Saccharomyces cerevisiae S288C: one gene and its partner. The protein of the gene in region 1 interacts with the protein of each later gene in a pairwise test. Each region holds a gene or a part of one and is shown on either strand. Other genes may lie near its edges.

Region 1 (8,950 bases):
AATATAAGGCCCTTGGAAATGATCATGGTAGGAGATTCATTTGACGACATGAAATCCGGTAGATCTGCTGGATGTTTCACGGTATTACTCAAGAATCATGTGAATGGACATTTACTGCTCGAACATAAAGAACTAGTAGACGTTTCAGTAGAGGATCTTTCCGAAATAATTGAATTGATTCAAAATATGAATAAAGAAAGTTTCTAAAAAAAAAAAAACTTTACTTAGATATGTACATATGATTGAAATACCATTTTATTCTTAGATGTTTTTTAGAGCTAATATAGTAGCTATGGCGGAATTACCTTGATTTTTTCGGCATCACAAAGTTCGAGAACACATCAAATCAGCAAAAAAATCTCCGCGACGGGGAATTGAACCCCGATCTGGCACGCGACAAGCGCCCATTCTGACCATTAAACTATCACGGATTTTAATTGTTGGGTTAACGGTGTTTTTATTAATACTTGTTTCATATGATTTGAAAAAATAAAAAAATGTTGCAGCAAGTGATCATTAATGTCAATATAAATAATGATGGTAGCAAGATGAGTGTTTACGTTAATGTACATTTCATATACTGAGAAATAGGTGAATTTTCGGGATAATCGTTAGGATTTCATTATTGTTAAGGGCTATAATTTAGGTATATCGAATATACGAGAAGTTCTGCACGATGATATAGGGATCCATAAAGGGAACCAATATTTCTACGTACCTGTTACTTCTCCCTCCATTTTATATTTTTCATCATTTTATGACGTTATCAAATCCTTGCATTTCAGTTGCCATTATACTTTACCATTGTTTTTCGATTTTATGTCATCTTCTTACACCGTATGACAATATACCAGTAGTATGAATATCAGTCGATGAGTGAGTTGATTTTTATTCGAACATACACGTTTTAACGTGAATGTACTAAACTGCTAACTGAGCATTTCGGACAGTGCTGAAAATAAGTTAAAGATCTACGCTTTGGTAGTTATGTATACGAGTCATACAATTCGTCACATTAAATGTATAGTATCAAAGACAGTATTATCCACACTTAATCTTCATTAATACTTATCAACAAAAATGAAGCACTCATCTGACTATATTTATATAATATTGCCGACCAAAATCCTTGTGTTTAATTCCAAGTGATTTAGCACCAATCCTATTCCATCCATGCAGGTGCTGTTGCTGCTGGATCCGTGTTTTTGACCAGTCTTAATGAAGCACAACAGCAGCCTACCCTTTTTGTGGACCATATTAATGGATACAATGAGTACTTAGCACGAAGAAAGCGTAGCATTGTAGTTTCATCGTTGCAACTTAGTCCTAGTACGTTCCAGTTCTGCATCGTGACTCACCTTGAGCTCGAAAAATGTGACATATACGTTTTCCGCTGTGGCCGCTGTGGCCGCAGCGTCAAGAATCGCCAATGATAAGTTCTCTGCTCCTGGCGTCGATAGATTCAGAAAAGTGTGAAATTATCGAAGCACGGGTATAGTTAATTGTTAAAGCGTAGATGCTTTGTCGTAGAAACTTTTCTTTAACCTATAGGGAACTCAAATTCTGGAAGGTCAACGTATAATGGAGGACAGTAAAAAGAAAGGATTAATAGAAGGCGCTATACTCGATATAATAAACGGTTCCATTGCAGGCGCCTGTGGTAAGGTGATCGAGTTTCCTTTCGATACTGTGAAAGTCAGGTTGCAAACACAAGCATCCAACGTGTTCCCAACAACATGGTCTTGTATAAAATTTACTTACCAAAATGAAGGAATAGCACGAGGGTTTTTTCAAGGCATTGCTTCACCTTTAGTTGGAGCATGTCTGGAGAACGCGACATTATTTGTGTCTTATAACCAATGTTCTAAATTTTTAGAAAAACATACAAACGTTTCCCCGTTGGGGCAAATCCTGATCTCTGGTGGAGTAGCGGGTTCATGTGCTAGTTTAGTTTTGACACCCGTGGAGCTGGTGAAGTGTAAGTTGCAGGTTGCGAACTTACAAGTTGCATCAGCTAAAACGAAACATACAAAGGTGTTGCCTACAATAAAAGCAATTATAACTGAGAGAGGATTGGCAGGATTGTGGCAAGGGCAATCGGGCACTTTTATTCGAGAAAGCTTCGGTGGTGTTGCCTGGTTTGCAACCTACGAAATAGTTAAGAAGTCGTTGAAAGATAGGCACTCCCTTGATGACCCAAAAAGAGATGAAAGTAAGATATGGGAACTACTTATTAGTGGAGGGAGCGCTGGATTGGCATTCAACGCCAGTATTTTTCCTGCGGATACTGTGAAATCAGTAATGCAAACTGAACATATAAGCCTCACCAATGCGGTGAAGAAGATATTTGGCAAATTTGGACTAAAGGGTTTTTATCGAGGACTGGGTATAACCCTTTTTAGGGCAGTACCAGCAAACGCTGCAGTTTTTTACATCTTTGAGACTCTTTCTGCACTTTAAATACAATAAATCGTGTAATAAGCAAGTATGTAACATTGATAGACAGTCTGTAATACCATTTACTGATCAAGAATGTCGCACAATCTCAACAGCCAGGCTTTGTGTTAGTATTTTGTGTTTTTTACAACAACCTCTCGACTATTGTATACCAGTTTCTTGCATAGATGCTACTATTCTCTGACAGTAAATTATCTAGTCAGGACTTCGGATTTAACTAAATGCAAAAAAAAAAATGATTCGAATGTAAACAAAAAAAACTGTCTAGGTAGCAATGGTTCTTCTATAAAAGTGCAAGCTCTATAAAATCAAGATCAAGCATAGTACCGCCCACTGTTAGAGTCTTTGGTACGCAAACATTTTTGGCTACCGGATGTTGCGAAGAGAACTAAATAACTCTATCAGCAACAGGTCGATAGAAAATGAATCCTTTCCTTTTGAAAGGCCGAATGTCAGCTATATAATATCCGCAGAATTTGATAATAAATTAGGTCCTATTTTGAAGCACCAATACCCGAAAGATATTCCAGGTTTCAATCAGTTCTCACATGAGCAACGCAACGGCAATACGTCGGTGTCTATGAACTTGGCAAGTTTAATGATACCGAGTAGCATAGAGAGAAATCCCGGCAAACAAGATATTACAGTGTTTACCCTTTATTACAATAAGTTTACTCAAAACTATCAACTCTTTCCTGTGCCAAAAGACCCTCGTTTCAGTTTCAATCTGCATCATCGTGAACAGTCAGATGGTAGTGTTACCAATAGCATATATTACGATGCCGAAAATCATCAAGATGCAAAAAATAATAGATACACTATTGTCTTGGAAGATGATGAGCTCGAATGCCAGGAAGTTCAGAATAATCAGAAAGCCATCGACAACGAACCTTTATTTTTCATAAATGTCGCCAACACAGTATTAGACACCACGAACGATAGAGGGGCAGTAATCAAGTCGATTGCCATCGGAACACCATTAAAAACCTTCTTTGCATTCAAAAATATTATTGTATTAGTGTTAGACTTGTATATGAAAGCTCCCACTCAAGCTGCTGCTACAGACATACTGCTTGATTGCTTTAATATGCTAAACAGTATTGACCTTACATTGATTAATGACATACATTCCAAAAGTAGTATACAAGAAGTGCTACACTCTATCCATGACGAATCTATCATTACCAAAGTATTTTTAGACCCGGATTCCACTTTAAAGAAACTCTTTTGCATCAATGGATTTGACACTAAGGACAAGTATGGTAACATTGTGACTTTTCATGACCAACTCATTCAATATCATTTTACAAGATTTCAGCCAAAGACGCTCCCGCCATTTTTGTTAAAAATCCCATTGCAATTTAATATGATTAGAAGAGAGCCTATTTATATTGAAAATGATTATAATGAACTAGTTTTAAAATTTTTGGATAAATTTGTCCCTTACCTTCTTAAAGCCGGACAAAAAGTTAATGCATGGAAGTTAGTCATCAATTCAACTAAACTGAGTAAAGAAGACCTATGCGCTTTTATTTTGTCATTAGCCAACATAACGGCAACTTATGCTAGCGATCCACAATCATACTTCAAAGGAAATGCTGCGTTGATTTTTCCCTATATGGACATTTCTCTTGTTGACGGTTTGCGGGCGTATGTAGCATCGAATAGTGATTTTGTCGGATGCTTTGCAATTATCGGAACTGCCAATCCAATTTTCCGATACCAGTTAGATATCTGGGATTATTACTACGATGTGGATGAGGGAGTGTTTTATGAAAATAATAGTCCAGAAAAAGAAAAGCCAGATACAGTGGCAGAAGTGAAGATTGGGCCTAACCCTTTGAGAAAGATATTCAATAGGCCTCATTTCTCAACCAACGCAGTCAACGAAAGTCAGGTAAACTTGGGCCAGAAGCTCTTTTCTCTTCTTATCGACGAATATCATGATAGTGATACTATCATGAGCGTTTTGAGAAGGCTGAATGTTCTTCAGTTGGAAAACCTTCTGGACGCTTTGAAAAGACGAGAAATTCCACCTAATATAGCACTAAAAGATGAATATATCATGTTTTATAAAGATTTTTTCATTTTCCCGGAGTTCTTTGATTATTTTACACTGCATAGTATTGAACTATTGTCTAACTTGGATAATTGTTTATTTAGCTTAGGAAACACATGCCAGTTATTTTCCACAGAGCAAATATATTCCCAATTAAGCCAAATATTGGACATTGTTAAAGAGCTGTTTCGCATGGTATCGGTAAGCAGGACAAACATTGAGAAGTTTTTAAACGCTTGTTTGAACTATTCTCCGTTCAAAATATTACCCACAGCTCAGTTACACGGTGATAATATTTCTAGGTGGAGTTTTGAAAGCGAAGTGCGTCAGGGTTTCGATAATTTTAACAGCTATATGGGCATCGAAAAAGATCCCCACGGTGTTATAGTATCAGCAATAGATCTTTTTACTCAAATTTACAGTTTTGATATCTTGGCGTTTTTCCTCACATTTATTACAAAAGAAAGTGGGCAGGATTTGCCCTTCACAAAATCTCTGTCCAGGAGAAGAACGTATTTGACCAGAATTGCTCAATCTTCTTCATTGAGACAGTTTTTACAACTGAGTACACGCCCTAATATAAGGATTCTGGGAGGTAATGGGCAGGGTACTGGAAATTCCAATTATCCCGAATTTACAAACGCATCCTCAGTCATCTCACCCAAGCTAAGGGCTTCTCCTCTACTAGAAAGAAGGGCGTCAAAAATCTGCTATGCTATTACGAAATTACTCTATAGGTTAGAATGTCATCCCATAGGTATGGCCCTTTTAAAGAAGTATCTCCACAATCAATTGCGAGAAGCCTATCTAGAATCAAAACGACACTTTATTTCCAAAAAGGGAGATTCGACCAACACTTCCTCTACCATTGCATCATCATCTTTCGCTGGCGCATCTGTTCCTCTATCTTCAAACGAATCAGGAATGCTAAACGGCTTGAAGCAAATTAACGAACAACAAGAATCTACATTAGAAACCACTCAAAAGGAAGACTAGTAACGCCGTATCGTGATTAACGTATTACATAAGTTACAGGATTCATGCTTATGGGTTAGCTATTTCGCCCAATGTGTCCATCTGACATTACTATTTTGCATTTTAATTTAATTAGAACTTGACTAGCGCACTACCAGTATATCATCTCATTTCCGTAAATACCAAATGTATTATATATTGAAAGCTTTTGACCAGGTTATTATAAAAGAAACTTCATGCTCGAAAAAGATCATTTCGAAAAGTTGCCTAGTTTCATGAAATTTTAAAGCAGTTTATATAAATTTTACCTTTTGATGCGGAATTGACTTTTTCTTGAATAATACATAACTTTTCTTAAAAGAATCAAAGACAGATAAAATTTAAGAGATATTAAATATTAGTGAGAAGCCGAGAATTTTGTAACACCAACATAACACTGACATCTTTAACAACTTTTAATTATGATACATTTCTTACGTCATGATTGATTATTACAGCTATGCTGACAAATGACTCTTGTTGCATGGCTACGAACCGGGTAATACTAAGTGATTGACTCTTGCTGACCTTTTATTAAGAACTAAATGGACAATATTATGGAGCATTTCATGTATAAATTGGTGCGTAAAATCGTTGGATCTCTCTTCTAAGTACATCCTACTATAACAATCAAGAAAAACAAGAAAATCGGACAAAACAATCAAGTATGGATTCTAGAACAGTTGGTATATTAGGAGGGGGACAATTGGGACGTATGATTGTTGAGGCAGCAAACAGGCTCAACATTAAGACGGTAATACTAGATGCTGAAAATTCTCCTGCCAAACAAATAAGCAACTCCAATGACCACGTTAATGGCTCCTTTTCCAATCCTCTTGATATCGAAAAACTAGCTGAAAAATGTGATGTGCTAACGATTGAGATTGAGCATGTTGATGTTCCTACACTAAAGAATCTTCAAGTAAAACATCCCAAATTAAAAATTTACCCTTCTCCAGAAACAATCAGATTGATACAAGACAAATATATTCAAAAAGAGCATTTAATCAAAAATGGTATAGCAGTTACCCAAAGTGTTCCTGTGGAACAAGCCAGTGAGACGTCCCTATTGAATGTTGGAAGAGATTTGGGTTTTCCATTCGTCTTGAAGTCGAGGACTTTGGCATACGATGGAAGAGGTAACTTCGTTGTAAAGAATAAGGAAATGATTCCGGAAGCTTTGGAAGTACTGAAGGATCGTCCTTTGTACGCCGAAAAATGGGCACCATTTACTAAAGAATTAGCAGTCATGATTGTGAGATCTGTTAACGGTTTAGTGTTTTCTTACCCAATTGTAGAGACTATCCACAAGGACAATATTTGTGACTTATGTTATGCGCCTGCTAGAGTTCCGGACTCCGTTCAACTTAAGGCGAAGTTGTTGGCAGAAAATGCAATCAAATCTTTTCCCGGTTGTGGTATATTTGGTGTGGAAATGTTCTATTTAGAAACAGGGGAATTGCTTATTAACGAAATTGCCCCAAGGCCTCACAACTCTGGACATTATACCATTGATGCTTGCGTCACTTCTCAATTTGAAGCTCATTTGAGATCAATATTGGATTTGCCAATGCCAAAGAATTTCACATCTTTCTCCACCATTACAACGAACGCCATTATGCTAAATGTTCTTGGAGACAAACATACAAAAGATAAAGAGCTAGAAACTTGCGAAAGAGCATTGGCGACTCCAGGTTCCTCAGTGTACTTATATGGAAAAGAGTCTAGACCTAACAGAAAAGTAGGTCACATAAATATTATTGCCTCCAGTATGGCGGAATGTGAACAAAGGCTGAACTACATTACAGGTAGAACTGATATTCCAATCAAAATCTCTGTCGCTCAAAAGTTGGACTTGGAAGCAATGGTCAAACCATTGGTTGGAATCATCATGGGATCAGACTCTGACTTGCCGGTAATGTCTGCCGCATGTGCGGTTTTAAAAGATTTTGGCGTTCCATTTGAAGTGACAATAGTCTCTGCTCATAGAACTCCACATAGGATGTCAGCATATGCTATTTCCGCAAGCAAGCGTGGAATTAAAACAATTATCGCTGGAGCTGGTGGGGCTGCTCACTTGCCAGGTATGGTGGCTGCAATGACACCACTTCCTGTCATCGGTGTGCCCGTAAAAGGTTCTTGTCTAGATGGAGTAGATTCTTTACATTCAATTGTGCAAATGCCTAGAGGTGTTCCAGTAGCTACCGTCGCTATTAATAATAGTACGAACGCTGCGCTGTTGGCTGTCAGACTGCTTGGCGCTTATGATTCAAGTTATACAACGAAAATGGAACAGTTTTTATTAAAGCAAGAAGAAGAAGTTCTTGTCAAAGCACAAAAGTTAGAAACTGTCGGTTACGAAGCTTATCTAGAAAACAAGTAATATATAAGTTTATTGATATACTTGTACAGCAAATAATTATAAAATGATATACCTATTTTTTAGGCTTTGTTATGATTACATCAAATGTGGACTTCATACATAGAAATCAACGCTTACAGGTGTCCTTTTTTAAGAATTTCATACATAAGATCACTTATTATACATACATACATATCCAGTAACAAGAAGCAAGGAATAATTACCTGCTTAAGTCTGCGATTAAAAAAATAACGTTTCGATACAGTTCATATAAGGCGGCTCAATGCAGAACCGAGGATAGCGCTACGTCAGGATATCTTTGTAGTTCCCAAATATAAATGCGACAATATAGTTTCTTTCTTTCATATCAATAATATCCTTTTCTCCACTGAAATCACGAATCAAACCTGGAGCAAAAACTAAAGCCAAATTATAAAGCGTCATTCGATTCCAGTGACTGTACCGTGTAACCTTTTCTATATGTTCACTCAGTACTCTTAACACCCTATAATGTTCCCTTGGAAGGTCTTCCAATATGTTTTTTAAAGCGCTCTTGCTCGACATATAAGTGTCCGAATTCTTTGCTTCTAAGGACAACTTTCCTCCAACAAATGGCAAGTTTTCCATCATTTTTTTAGATTTAACTAACCTCATCAACGGCTCGTATATTTGAAAGGTAAAGATAGGGTTGGGGAGCTTTCTTAAGTATCGCTTCAACACACCAGTAACAACGTTGAGATCTTGTTCCGTTAAAATATTTGGCGTTTCGGTATTTTGTTGTACTTTCCATGCAGAAAATTGCTTTTCTATTTCTTCTATGACTAGCTGGGAACCTGATTTTCTATAAATGCCCTCCGATCTCATATTTTCTTCGTCTGATTCAATAAAATCTATGCAGACAGATAGTATCATCGGTATTTCATTGTTTTCATAATTGCACCTAGCAACGAGACTTGAACCATACAAATTGCTTCCATCCAAATATTCTTCTCCATCTTTACTTTGTCCCATATTTGCATCGTTCTCGATAGGTACTAATCTAACGTCACTAAATTCAT
Region 2 (4,010 bases), on another chromosome or scaffold:
GCGTCTACCTCATAATCATAGTAATCATCAGTGCTTGGTGGAGTATCATTTAAAATTTGTTCCTTATGTGAGTCATACCATGCTCTTTCCTGGGGGTCAGACAGTACTTCATAAGCGGCTCGAATCACAGCAAATTTTTGTGTGGCTTCTTCAACATTATCTGGGTTTTTATCTGGGTGATATTGTAGGGCCTTTTTACGGTAAGCTTTTTTTAACTCAAGATCAGAAGCATGCGTTTCGACCCCTAAAAGCTCATAGTAGCAGGTCTTCATCCGTTATTTTTGAAGTAGTAGGATATCACTATACTGATATTAACTCTTGGCTGGTCAGACTTTTACTATGTAAAAAGAGCTACTTTGCGATGACTTCAAATTTTTTTCACGTATATTTTTTTTCTATTCTTAAAACAAGAAAAAGTGTAAACATAAAATGTTGGCCGCTTAAGCCCTCCAATTTTACAACAAATGAATATTTTATACATACTTCCTAGAATATAATTTAATCTTATACCTTAATTTTTAGTTACAATTACAACAATTTATCTATTGACTCCGTTAATAAAAATTACTTCACCATCTTCTCCAGGATATGATCATACAGATGGTCCAGACACCTCTCCAAATGGTGATCTATGGAATCCATCCTGCGCGTTGACATAAAATCATAGTATGCTTGATCCGTAAATTTCTTTAGATTCATTTCTTGACTATATACTTGTCTATGCAGACGTTGAGCAAAATTGGACAGCATGATGTTTTCATATTTCAATTTGATAGCCAGCAACGGAATCTTTCGCCTTAACTTTGGATAAGGAATACCAACAGCCAAAACAATTTCTTTGACAGTATTTTGTAAAGTCGTCAAATTTGCTGAATCAATTTGTTCAACCATAAGGAAATTACATTCTTCTGCCGAAATATCGGGCCTTGACTGTAAGATATTTTTTATTGTAATCCTTTCAGAAGTATTTCCCTCTAAGTTTCCAAATCGCGACCTCAAATTATCCAGTTCCTTTGATAGAGTGTTTGTTTTCTTTTCAGCATCTGCTAGCATTTTTTCTTTATCCTTCAATGATGTTTCGTATTTTTCTTTGCTTTTTTCCCATGATCCTAGTCTTTCATTCAACCTTTCCAGCTTAATTTTTATTTCCTCATTACATCCTTTCAAAATTTCCTTCTCATCGATTGTCAACTTGTCAAATTTATCACATAGTATTTTGTTCTGTTTGGAAAGGGTTTTATTTGTACCAATTAAAGTATTATTTTTTTCTCTCATGGTCTGGATTTCAATTTTTTTATTCTCTAACTCATTTCGGAGATCCTCAGCTTCTGCTTTTGCATTTTTAAATCGCTGAGAAATGCGGCTCAGCTCTTCTTGCTGTGATGCACATAAAAACCCTTTAATATTAGGATATTTTTCTTGTAATATGTGATCTAATTTTGAAGAATTTTCCTCCGAGTCATACAAATCGAAAAACAATATACCAATCGGTATTTCAAACAGCTCGGCCTTTCTTAAGGAGTCAGTGAGACTTAGTAATGCAGTGTGTTTTGTCTGAATAGTATCATTGGCTTTTTCCAACATTTCTTTATTCAGCGAAAGGTCCTTTGTTAGGTTTTCAATCAATACTGTCTGTTCTTCAATTTTTTTTTTGTTATCTAAGGTTTTGTCGTTTGACTTCGTAGCTGCTTCGAGCTCCTTTTGTAAAGAGTTTGCTCTTTCCTCTTGTCTTAGATTATCTCTACCCAATTCAATAACTTTTTTTTGATACCCCAGTATCACATTTTCTAACATTCGAAAATCCTCTTTCGATAAGGAGTTTTGTAGAAAAATTTTGGCACCGTTACAGTCTTCTATCGAGATATCTGGCGATGTATGTTCATCAGTTGGTTGAGCAGAAGCCTGTTCATTTGCCCTCGTAAAATGCTTCGAAGAGTTTTCTCTAGGAGTAGAGTGTATGAAATTGGGTACATCCTTTTTATGAACATCAGTACCTATGGGAGACTTATCTTTTTCGTTTTTTGGTCGTTCTTGTAATCCTGGAGATTCCTGATAACTAGTATTTCTAGCATAATTCATTTGATCCATAGATGGTGATTTGTTCTCTTCATATGAGTCTCTAGCATTGGAAAAGTTGCAATTGATGACATCTTCAGGGTTAACGAATAAAGGTAAGATGGATTTTCCGACATGATTTTCATTTAGCCAGTTTTGTGGGATTGGCTCTCCGTCTTTAATTTCCCCATTCTCTGATACAGGAGAATCCAAACGCTCATGAAATGGAAAATTCATTAAATCGAAATCAGTCATGATGTACAAAAGACCTGTCACTATTTACTAGTGATTATTTTTTGTATGTGTAGATTTCTTCCCGAGGAACGTTAACGTTATTAGTTGTTTTATTACTATAAACGTTCCACAAAAAATTGCCTAACGCCTCACGTCGCGCAACGCGAATTTTCACAAGAAGATGTTATTTACAGTTACGATAATTGAATTGGATATGTAACGAGAAGTTGTACCTAAAACTCCGTATGTGTATATTACCATAGATTTTTCATGGTCTAGTCTAGAAAATAAAAAAATATGTATATACGCAATTGTTAAGAAAATGAGGATTAAAAGCTTGGAAAATATTAACTTTCACTGTGTCTTAAACCCGATCTATTCTTTTTAATTTTGGCAAAAATTGGTTCACTTATACCTTTATTGCCTTGAATACCAAGGCCCTCTCCACTTTTCCACCCAAGCTTTTCCAACATTCTTCTACCGATATTTTCGTTTCCAATCTCTGGAGCGTTTTGACCAACAATCTCACCTTCTTTAACATGAAATTTCCCTCTGATTGTTTTAGTTCTTTCGAAAGCAGCTTGTTCCTCCCTCGGTCTTCTTATATCTATTCTCATGAATACTGGCCTCTGCCTCATCAATTGGTCAATGAGACTATAATTCGGAGAAGACCATTTCGTTTTCTTTATTTTTTCTACAACAACCGACGTATGATTTGCTTTCCCAATTTTTGAACTCTTCATATTATAATGCTTCGCAATTTTCATTACGGTCTTGTTTCCATGAGGATCTAATGGAGGGAAAGTCAGTCTATCATTGTTCCTAGACAAAAAGGACTCAAATTCATCTTTAATATTTTGAATATGGAGTCCATATGGGTATTTCTTGAGCATATCGTTCGAATTTCTATTCTCCTGATCAATGAAATCTTCTTTGGCTTTTCTTTTCTTTGCTTTGGTTTCTATGCGTTTACTAAACTTACTTTGTAACGTCTCCAACGTTTCTGTATCCAGCGCTAAGGCGTCATCGATGAGTAGCTTCTTCTTCTTACCTTTACCCTTAGTTTCCAAGGACTTGGTTTCAAATGTTTTGAATCTTTCTGTATCATGTTTCAATGTGTATGCAATTAGGTCGTCCAGACCCTCTTCAATGTCGCTATGCACAACCGAGGAGGCCATATCTTCATCATCTTCATAGCTGTCGCCTTCATAGCTGTCACCTTCATCACTCGAATCAGAAATCGGAATATCTGAGTAGGTTGGCTCAGCTGGTTCAATTTTTGGTATAAGAGAATTTTTAATAAAATTCAAATATGCAGGTAATCTATCTTCAGGAAGACCTAACTCGTCTACAACGAAGTCTGTGAGTAAGTCCTGGTCAATCCAATGAAAGTCGTAATCTCCCAGTAATCTGTAACACCGTAGATAATATGAATTGTCTACTCCGCCCATTCTTATATTGGAGACCACTATGTCATTAGTATTTATGACAAAATCTTCTTCTTTGAATCCAAATTCTAACTCTTCGCTAGCAGGAGATGGCAGATTATCATTATTGCCTTCGAATGTTTTGGTACCATTTATTGAAAGACATTTTATATCTTCTGTCAACTGCGGACTAGGGCTTGGTAAAAGATTGTTGTCAGCTCGGGAATTGTGACGTTGGCCAACATAATTAAACCCTTGATCAACCTCAGAACTTGCTGAGGATTCGTATAAAGG

The links. Proteins that work in one complex are often made in the same cells at the same time.
Region 2: the proteins of AFI1 (region 1) and CNM67 interact in a two-hybrid assay, tested with the Saccharomyces cerevisiae proteins (2 studies listed by BioGRID).

What each region holds. Positions count from the first base shown.
Region 1 is NC_001147.6:563,439-572,388, reverse strand, and holds AFI1 (Afi1p), read left to right. Parts: upstream 1-2,830; coding exon 2,831-5,512; downstream 5,513-8,950. Other genes in the region: YOR131C (putative haloacid dehalogenase-like hydrolase), read left to right, coding at 1-207; ORT1 (Ort1p), read left to right, coding at 1,582-2,460; phosphoribosylaminoimidazole carboxylase ADE2, read left to right, coding at 6,198-7,913; GTPase-activating protein RGA1, read right to left, coding at 8,196-8,950. UniProt on the Saccharomyces cerevisiae protein: Involved in actin patch polarization. Required for maintaining a proper budding pattern in yeast cells. Required for proper polarized localization of the ADP-ribosylation factor ARF3 at the plasma membrane.
Region 2 is NC_001146.8:222,160-226,169, forward strand, and holds CNM67 (Cnm67p), read right to left. Parts: upstream 2,311-4,010; coding exon 565-2,310; downstream 1-564. Other genes in the region: JJJ1 (Jjj1p), read right to left, coding at 1-272; SQS1 (Sqs1p), read right to left, coding at 2,637-4,010. UniProt on the Saccharomyces cerevisiae protein: Involved in the pathway that organizes the shaping and sizing of the prospore membrane (PSM) during sporulation. Required for the proper formation of the spindle pole body (SPB) outer plaque.